Linked DNA regions of Arabidopsis thaliana. The protein of the gene in region 2 interacts with the protein of the main gene of each other region in a pairwise test. Each region holds a gene or a part of one and is shown on either strand. Other genes may lie near its edges.

Region 1 (5,494 bases), on a different chromosome or scaffold from region 2:
AAGAAAAAGAAAAAAAGCGTAGTCATTCTACATGGTGAACGTAACTCGTATATGCCATATTGCCATACATAAAAGAGTCCATAAATATGGTTCGACTGCAAAGAATTAGGGGTTATATTGTTATATACGTGTGTGTGTATAACGAGACTTAGAGACACTATGATTAGAGAAAGGAAAATTAGGGATCGAGGGACATTTATATAACGAAAAAAGTGAATGGTGTGAAAGGGTTAATGGATAGATGGTCTTGGGATTTGAACAAAAGGCTCTCTCTCCCTCGCGCAGTAGACAAATAGGCATGCATGTGAATCTGACTCCAAATCAAGTGCTACCTCTTTTGCCTTTTCTATTTTTGGTACCCAATATTTGTTATAATTTTCATTTTTTCTGTTTTATATATCCATTCTCCTCGAATTCTGTGTCTACCTTGTCATATGTTAAGTATTTTGGATTTTTCTTTGGACTAGGGTCAAAGAGTTACTGAGATGACGTCACCTTAAGCCGAAAGGTGATGAGGTAAAAGAAACGACAGCCAACGGCTTTGGGTGGACCCGTGCAAGCGGATAAATCAGATGAGGAACAAATGATTAGTTATGTGATAGAAACAGGTCTGAATCTTACGTGTCTTACATTCGTAATGACACGTGTTAAGGACGGCGCCACCAAACCAGACAATGGGAGCTGGATTGCTGGAGAAAGACTTAAGAACATATGAAACATATTCCTGTGTTTTACTCTTCTCCTTATTTTTTCTTTCATAATATAATGTTCATATATACACGATTCCTGATGTTTTAATGGCCAATGTTCGTTCCTTTAGGTTTACTATAAATCTGAGTTTAGTTTAATCATTTAAGAAAAAGTTGAGATTGTGGTTTCGAGTGGATCTAGCTAGACTCACATTATAAAATTAGCTGCGGTGGTATATTGAGTGAGATTTACGTAGTAATCCATAAATGTACATGCGTGTAAATCCTTTCGACGTTGAGATGTTTATATACTTAATAAGTTAATAGTAATATCTCTTTGACAAAAAAGTTAATAGTAATATCTCAACAACTTTGAGGTATTACGTGTCTTATCTATGGGTTAATAAGACATACTAAAACTAAGACACATTTCATCAGTACCTGATCCAGCAAACATATAGGAATATATTTCTGTAGTTCTTCTTCGGGTTTACAAATCCAGTCCTTTTTAATCCTTGAATTGTGAATTTCCAACAAGCCACTCACAATTTATAACTAGGTTTTATTACTGAAAATATCTTACATGGTATAAGAATTTATGGTGTGTAGCTGAACATAGTGTTTTAAGAAAATAGATTAATTATATTCAAAACGTAATTTTTTTGTCATCTGATTTTATTGATAATACATGGAATCGTGTTATGAAATATTATCCAATCAAACTGAAGTTTTTGGATATATTCGGAACATCCATTTGACCTAATTACGCCACATAAAAACCGTTAATCTAAAGGATTTGTCTTGTGTGATGTAATAATAACTAATGAGCAATAGACAAATAAAAAAAAGGTTTGGCTTGTGCAGTAACTGCCGGTAAAGTGGAGAAGATTGGAAAAACTTTAAACAAAAAATTGCGGTAAGAGAGAGAGAGAGACGCCGACCAAAAACAAACCGTAGATGTCTATCCCACGCGCAATCAAACCTTTCCTTCATCTCCTTCTTCTTCTTCTTCTCCTTCTTCTTATATCATCATTTTGCACCCACATGTCACACACTTACCATATACATATAATTAAGCATACTCGCATAAACCTATATATACACTCTAAGATTTCTAGCTGGTCCATATGCATGTGATCTAATCAAAAGCCAAACTCTCCTTGTCTTTGCTATATTAACAATCATTTGATCCACACCACCAGAGATTTCAATCTTCCTCTCCTTCTTCCTTTTGCTACTCTCTTTTAGATCGTTCTTGTGAAAATCGCTTGCAAATAACAAGCCCTTCGTCCAATCTTTATTAGCTCGTAAGTTTCACCCCATTGCTCCTTTTAGGGTTTTTTTGTTTTGTTGCTGTACTCACTTCATGCACGAACCAGATGATGATACATCGGCGTTTGTGTTTTACGTTTTTATTATTCAAAAATACATACATATTACATATAGTATCGTTTTGTATCGTTTCATATCTTGAATAGTATACATGTGTGTGGTCCTGTTGAGATTGACCCACAAATATTAGAGTAAACTGGGGAATTGAAATCAATCATGGTGGGGATTTCGGAATCTATGTGTGTTTCTAAGATATTATTGTTTCTTGGAAATTAATTGTTGTTGCACCATAATATAATTTATATTATATAGATAGTCTAGGAAAATAACTCAAGACAAAGAGTGTGTAACACACTCCAACCTCAGTGACTTCCACCCGTCAAGCTTTTCGGCTACATAGCCTTTATATACGATTATTTTACATATAGTTACAGATATATACAGTACTGCTTGTATATTTTTGGTCTTATAATACTACCTTATGTCATTATATATAGTACATATTATACAAAGTTTCAATCTTTTCATTTATAAGCATCGTTCGGTATGTAGAAGGCGAAACAAACCCTTAAACCTAATATTTTTTTCTGGTCCAAAAACTTTCTCTATCAAGCTTTTGCATTTTTTCTTTTAAAATAGTAACAGCTCCTCCATTGTTGGGTGGTCCCATAAAAATACATCATAACCATCATCAGCAACATATAATAGCGATAGCCTTAAGCTTAAAGATCCAAGCTTTTGGATATAATATCTAGTTACATGTATATATATATATATGTGTTTGTATATTTATAGGTATATAGTATATTATCGTGTGCGTCCGTGTGTAACATCACTATCATTACCCAACATACAGCTTTTGGAATTTCATTGGACCCAAGAGCCATTCGATCCCTTTCTTATAATTAAATATAACGAAGCTTGTAATAGGCTTTGGTTTTGGTCCCAAATACAAAACTTTAAGGTTGTGCCTTGTTTGTCTAAGGTTTTCGCAATAGCTTCCAAAAAGACACGCTTATGTTTATATACATTTCATTTTCCTTCATATCATTCTCTTCTCTGCCACTTCTCCATCTTGTTTCTTACTCATTTCTCTAACAATTTTCCAAATTAAATACGTTTATAGGATCATCGTGGATGGATAATATAATGCAATCGTCAATGCCACCGGGATTCCGATTTCATCCGACAGAGGAAGAGCTTGTGGGTTATTACCTAGATAGGAAGATCAATTCAATGAAGAGTGCTTTAGATGTCATTGTAGAGATTGATCTCTACAAAATGGAGCCATGGGATATACAAGGTAATTATATTAATCAACGTGGATTTTGTATAATGATTATCATTGATTAATCCTTTGCATGGAATGACAGTAAATTGTCTAGTTATGACATAAGTTTTGAAAACCAATAATATGTGATGAATTTGGCATGCGAAGTGATTGAGAGAGCCTACTTTCTTTGACTTGTATGTTCATAAACGGAGTGTGAAAAGAATTTCACAAAGAAATTAAGAGATGTATAGTACAATCATAAATCATAATACTTCTTTTGAAATTAAACCGGTTGAAAAGTATAATCATATCACATTTAGAAATTACTTTACTACATAATTTTCAATATTCTCTTTTTTTTTTAAAGAAACATAAAATTTCTAATATTTTGACCTTTTGTAATGTAAGAAATTTATGACATTAATATTTAGTTTTACATTTGCAGCGAGGTGTAAACTAGGGTATGAAGAGCAAAACGAGTGGTACTTCTTTAGTCATAAGGACAGGAAGTACCCTACCGGGACTAGGACCAACCGAGCCACTGCGGCTGGGTTCTGGAAAGCCACGGGTAGAGACAAGGCGGTACTATCAAAAAACAGTGTCATCGGAATGCGGAAGACACTTGTCTACTACAAGGGTCGAGCTCCTAATGGAAGAAAGTCCGATTGGATCATGCACGAATACCGTCTCCAAAACTCCGAGCTTGCCCCGGTTCAGGTATACACATTGAAAGACTCTGACTGATACGCGATTCACTATCAAAGCAATCATCCAAAAACTACTAATAAATAGTACAATACATACTCCGTCTATCAAACCTAAGCAATAATGTTACATGTTTGACGACATTTGATTCAATAATGTTTAAAATTAAAAAAAAAGAAAAAAAAAAAAAACAGGACTAAATCAATAACTTGTTATCTAAATAACTTTATATGTTTGTGAACTATAGGAGGAAGGCTGGGTGGTGTGTCGAGCATTTAGGAAGCCAATTCCAAACCAGAGGCCATTAGGGTACGAGCCATGGCAGAACCAGCTCTACCACGTCGAAAGTAGTAACAACTACTCATCTTCAGTGACAATGAACACGAGTCATCATATCGGTGCATCTTCATCAAGTCATAACCTTAATCAAATGCTCATGAGCAATAACCACTACAATCCTAATAATACATCCTCATCGATGCATCAATATGGCAACATTGAGCTCCCGCAGTTGGACAGCCCGAGCTTGTCGCCTAGTTTAGGGACGAATAAAGATCAGAACGAGAGTTTCGAGCAAGAAGAAGAGAAGAGCTTTAACTGTGTGGATTGGAGAACACTAGATACCTTGCTTGAGACACAAGTCATACATCCGCATAACCCTAATATTCTTATGTTCGAAACGCAGTCGTATAATCCGGCGCCAAGCTTCCCTTCCATGCATCAAAGCTATAATGAGGTCGAAGCTAATATTCATCATTCTCTTGGATGCTTCCCTGACTCGTAATTAAAAAAAAACACACTTCTATATATTGATTTGTATTCTATGATTTAATTGTTCCATCTGGAAAATAACATTTATAACTGTCTATTTGTAAAAGAAGTTTGTGTTTATTACGTAGAAATTTGTTGTTGAATTTCACAAAGGTGGATTTGTTTTTTTTAAAAATTAGTCCCTTTGTTTTTCTATTCATTTATTCTGTTGTCCAAATTTGTAACTCATCCATACATTCTACCCCCATTAATTTTTTATTTGAGTGGTGGCCTATTAGTTAAGAGAACTTGTAATTTCTGATCAGACTCCTAACTTTCAAAATTTCAAATCAAACCTCAAATTTGTAACTCAAACCCAAAATGCACGATTTGAATCGAAATCATATGTTCACCATGTATATAATTAATTAATGTACGTATTAATATGTACTACAAATGTTTACATGTGAAGAAGGTGATGAAAAAAAACAAAAAAAAAACATAAACACAAAAAACTTTTTATTCATATTTTTTAAAAAATTGACCATGATCAATATTGAGCATATAATAATAAATAAAAAAAATGAGTTAAAAAATAAATTTAATTGAGAAACCCTCTCATCGAGTAAGAGGTTTCAATTAAGAAGTCCAAGTCAAAACCTTCTGATCCACGTAGAAGGTCTTAAAAGCCACCGTCAAAAATCTACAAGGCCAACACGTTTGCCGTTAAAAATTAATTTCTAAT
Region 2 (4,330 bases):
GATTCCAAAATCAAACAAAACCCCTAATCAGATAAACAAACTCCAAATGATTTCGTTTACAGAAACTTTTTCTCAGCTTAAGAAAAATGTAAACTTTTCAATTTTCAGAGATGAAAGACAAGGAGAAGAAGAACCTTATAGAGATTGATCTTAGTGATTTCATAAGAGATTCCATTCCAATGAGCTTTAGCCATATGGTATCCGATTCCCCAATTAGGTAAGAACTGAGCAACTTCGATTAAGTTCTTCTTCTTTCTTCGTTTCGGTTTACTCGAATCGGAGCTAGGGTTTTCACTCGCCGGCGCCGCAGAGAAATTTCTTAAGAGATTAAGCGAGAGTCTGAAAGCACCAACGGTTTCGGTTCTAGAGATTGCTCTGTTAATAAGTGTCATCGCCATAGTGTCGCTCTCTTCCTCTCTCTCTCTCTCTCAAGTTTCAGCCACTGTTGAAGATCGGCGACTGAGGTTGAGGAGGAGAAGCACAACTTTTGGTTTATTCACAAACAGACTATATGTTATAATTAATTTGGTTCTAGGTGGGTTTTGTTCGGTTTAGAAGATTATCTGAAACAGAATTGGCTGTGTGGTTCCATTACATAGCATTGTTCTGAATAACTAGGATTTTTTTGTTCTTACACAAGACTAAAAGGGAGATTAGAAAACAAAACTTTTGATATATCCTACAAAATTGATGACCCTTTTCGATCCTCTTGTGATCATCCAACGAAATTGACAATCTTTGGACCTTGTTTCTTTTTCTTCACCTCGACACTATTCTGAGCTGAATCATCAGAGGTATTGATCTTCTTGCTGCTTTTGGGCTCTTCAGTGAAATCGTCTTCAAGATCGTCCCCACTAAACTTAGTGAGCTTTCCTCTTGGTGTAGCATCAAATCCTGTCATTTCAGTCAGGGAGATACAATTATGGTCTTTATAAGATAAATGAGATCGCATTCACTGTTCCGAATCACTTGAAAGAGAAACTACTTGACTAGGATCACATAATTAGAAGCTCAAGAATTGGAAGAGTGAGACAAAAGAAAATGTTACTTGAAGTCTTCTTTGGTTGGGCTGACTCTTGGTTGAATTTATCAGGACAGTCTTTGACGAGATGCGCCACACTCCCGCACACTTTACAACACCCGCCCTGCAAAAGAAGGCCCACCAAATCCATTGTTCAACATATCAAAACTCATCTTCTATGAGGAAAAGAAAAGGCTCGAAACAAGATTTGAGCATTGTACCATTGGGTAGATTCCATGCTTGTTTTCGGGACAGTTCTTGCTTATGTGCCCTTGTCCCTTGCATATGAAACAACTTGCAAATTTGGTCCCTCCTACAAAAGAATCAATACAGCAACCAAATCTAATCTTAGTGACTACTCTTAACAAACAAACAAACAAGTGACAGTATAGCCTCAAATACGTTTTCAGAGAATATAATGTTAAACTCTCTAAATAACATGAACTACACTTCAGATCATAAGTCAAATATCTGTGTACAGAGGTAAAAAAAAATACAAATTTCGATGCTAGGTTTCCTGAAATCTTGTAATATGAGAAAAGATAAATATTCCGGATCCAGAGAAGAGAAAAATTACCATCTTCCATAGGGTAAGGACAATGGGAAAGTGAATGACCAGTATCTCCACAATTGTAACAGAGCTTCTTCTCGGAGCTCTCATTGTTCTTTTCAGGGCAGTTTTTAAGACTATGCCCTCTCCTCCTACATTGCAAGCATATCTACAAACAACAAAACCAAAAACATTCATTTTCTAGTAACCAACAAGTCTAGTGATCATCAAAGTACCAACATTTCATGAAAAATTTCATCTTTGAGTTCATAAAGATTAAACCCTCAACTGATTCTAACAAGAGCTGCCAAAACCCTACTAAATCTAAAACTAAATTGAACTAAAACCCTAATCCCAAAACCAATGATTAAAGAAGAAAAGAACAAACCTTGTTTCTCTCCCACTCAGATTTTTCAGGACAAAGCTTAGCAATATGGGTTTTGGAATGACATATAAAACAGCCTTCTCCAGGTTTCATACCAGGAACTCGAAGAGGATGTCTTGTGGAAGAGCCTGTTCTCTGAGGTCTATCAGTGGAAGATCCAGGTTTCTTTTTCTTGAACAAGCTTTTCTTCTTCTTCTTCTTATTAGGGTCCTTTGGTGGCGTTGGTTCTGCTTTTGGAAACAGCTCTGGATTAGCTTCCTTGTATCGCTTCTGCGCAAGTCTTCTCCTTTGGTTCACCATTGTTGACTACTGTAATTAGAGAAAGACACGATTGATTTCGCCGGCGGCGGTGGAGGCAGTGAGACGAGGAAGACACAAGTTTGTTTGGTCGTTGAAGAAGCTCTTGCTAGGGGATGTTGTGATTTAAATGGGCTTCAATCATCTGGCCCACTGTTAATAGACCCAAATATTCATATACCTAATCTTGCTAAGGGATATTGTGTTTTAAATGGGCCTATTTCAAATTTTAGAACAGTCAGAGTCAGAGTCAAAGTTTTGTTGGAGCCGGTCATGCCTAACTTTTTTTTTTTTTTTCGCTCATGCCTATTGCCTAGCTTACTCACATAAGCATAGCAAAACTTATCCCACTGTATAAGAACATTTCCCTAACCATGTTAACAAGTATCAACTAGGGTCTAGGGATGGGCACATTGCCTTCTAATAAGTTCCTAAATATTTAGCGGTATGCATTTAAACTTTTGGCGTTCGTATACCCGTACCCAATCGAAATATATACGTATTCTTTTGGTTACTCGAATGCTAATAAACATATACTCAAAAACCAATTGATTATGAATAAAGAAAACTAATGTACATACTTTTAACGTAAGACATTCTAACACCTGTACTTTCAATTCGAGTATTTGAGATCAATTATTCGTTTGAGTACGAATAACCAAACTTTTGAATTTTGGTTATTTGAAATCATTTTTGGAGTATAGATACCCAAATTTCTACATTTTCTACTTGTTGCCATTCTAGTATCAATTAATGAACGGTACAGGATGTCCTCAATATGAGCCATTGGTGATAGACATTACCATAAAAGGCCTTCAAATTTGGTATGAATCTAGTGGTTGAGTTCATCAACTACTGATTTTTAGCTTTATTTCTTAAAACAAAATGTTGCACTTGTTGTACAAAAGATATTTTTTTCTTTGAATTTAATTTAAACATTAAAAACCAAAAACAGAAACATATTATATATTTTCACCAAAACTCAACATTTTATTCGAATCATATATATTATAAGACGTTACTTGTGTAAAAGTTACACCAGAACGCAGCCTACTTTCACCATCTCTTAATGTGTCGTGGTGTGTTTTTATGAAGTACATATATATAAGGACGCAATAAACGATGTAATACTAAAACCGTCGAACTAAACATAAATCTCTTAATTATTCTCGTCGAAAACTCATGATATCATACGTGTCCTCTCCATTTTCCCTTGCCTTAATTAATACGGTGAAGGTGCCGGCACGTAAGGCATGTTGTCCATTGAAGTAGCCGGCTCAGGTGCTATCTCGCCCAACATGACTGGTCCAACCGGTGCAAGAGTGTCCATTGCAATTCCCGAGCTCCTAATTTCCGACATTGCTCTTCTTGACTTCCCTTCTTGTGATTCACATAGCTTTGGTAAATACACTCCTATAGCAAACCAAACAAATAAATTATACCATAATCTATTAGAGAGAGAAAAGTAATATAACCGTACTGGTCTACCAATATCGTACCTTCACCAGCAGCAAGGTTGAAGTAGAGATCGACTACGTTAGGACATTGGTTTAAGCATTTAACCGAGCAGAGTTTATGTGTGAACTGAGATTCCAACAATGCGTCCGAAGATATACCTAAAGCTTTCCGGTCTAGACCACACGCTTTAATGCACTCGTCCGATTCAATAATGTTTGTGACCTTGTTAGCTTCTATCTCCGATGATCGACATGTGTACACCTCGATCCCGCTCCTCTTCATGCTCTTCTCCAAAACGCAACGTTTTCCAGTGGACGAGACCGCGAAGGCACACGTGTTTTCATCCAGATTCTCGCACTTCACATCGTCCCCTACCAAATTAATTCCAATGCTACTTAGTATTTGTACATGGAATAACAAAAGAATAACATACCTTTGAAAATGTCTTAGTTAAGCTGAACATACAATCGAGAAAGCTAATTGGGATTTGTTAAAAATTTACGATGTAAGTTCAAAATGTTTTATAATAGAACTATATCTAGCTTGTATGTGGATAACTTTGATATATAGAGCGATTTGAATAAACTTACCAAACGTCGTTTGCGAATAGATGGCAAGG

The links. Proteins that work in one complex are often made in the same cells at the same time.
Region 1: the proteins of AT5G52380 (region 2) and VND7 interact in a two-hybrid assay, tested with the Arabidopsis thaliana proteins (one study listed by BioGRID).

The regions. Positions count from the first base shown.
Region 1 is NC_003070.9:27,073,047-27,078,540, forward strand, and holds VND7 (vascular related NAC-domain protein 7), read left to right. Parts: upstream 1-1,655; 5' UTR 1,656-1,996; intron 1,997-2,973; exon of another isoform or gene 2,974-3,147; 5' UTR 3,148-3,158; coding exon 3,159-3,324; intron 3,325-3,739; coding exon 3,740-4,011; intron 4,012-4,246; coding exon 4,247-4,783; 3' UTR 4,784-4,945; downstream 4,946-5,494. UniProt on the Arabidopsis thaliana protein: Transcription activator that binds to the secondary wall NAC binding element (SNBE), 5'-(T/A)NN(C/T)(T/C/G)TNNNNNNNA(A/C)GN(A/C/T)(A/T)-3', in the promoter of target genes (e.g. genes involved in secondary wall biosynthesis, cell wall modification such as xylan accumulation, and programmed cell death).
Region 2 is NC_003076.8:21,260,806-21,265,135, forward strand, and holds AT5G52380 (VASCULAR-RELATED NAC-DOMAIN 6), read right to left. Parts: upstream 2,347-4,330; 5' UTR 2,257-2,346; coding exon 1,960-2,256; intron 1,741-1,959; coding exon 1,599-1,740; intron 1,335-1,598; coding exon 1,243-1,334; intron 1,146-1,242; coding exon 1,049-1,145; intron 895-1,048; coding exon 716-894; 3' UTR 548-715; downstream 1-547. Other genes in the region: AT5G52370 (28S ribosomal S34 protein), read right to left, coding at 135-398; AT5G52390 (PAR1 protein), read right to left, coding at 3,476-3,666, 3,753-4,082, 4,302-4,330.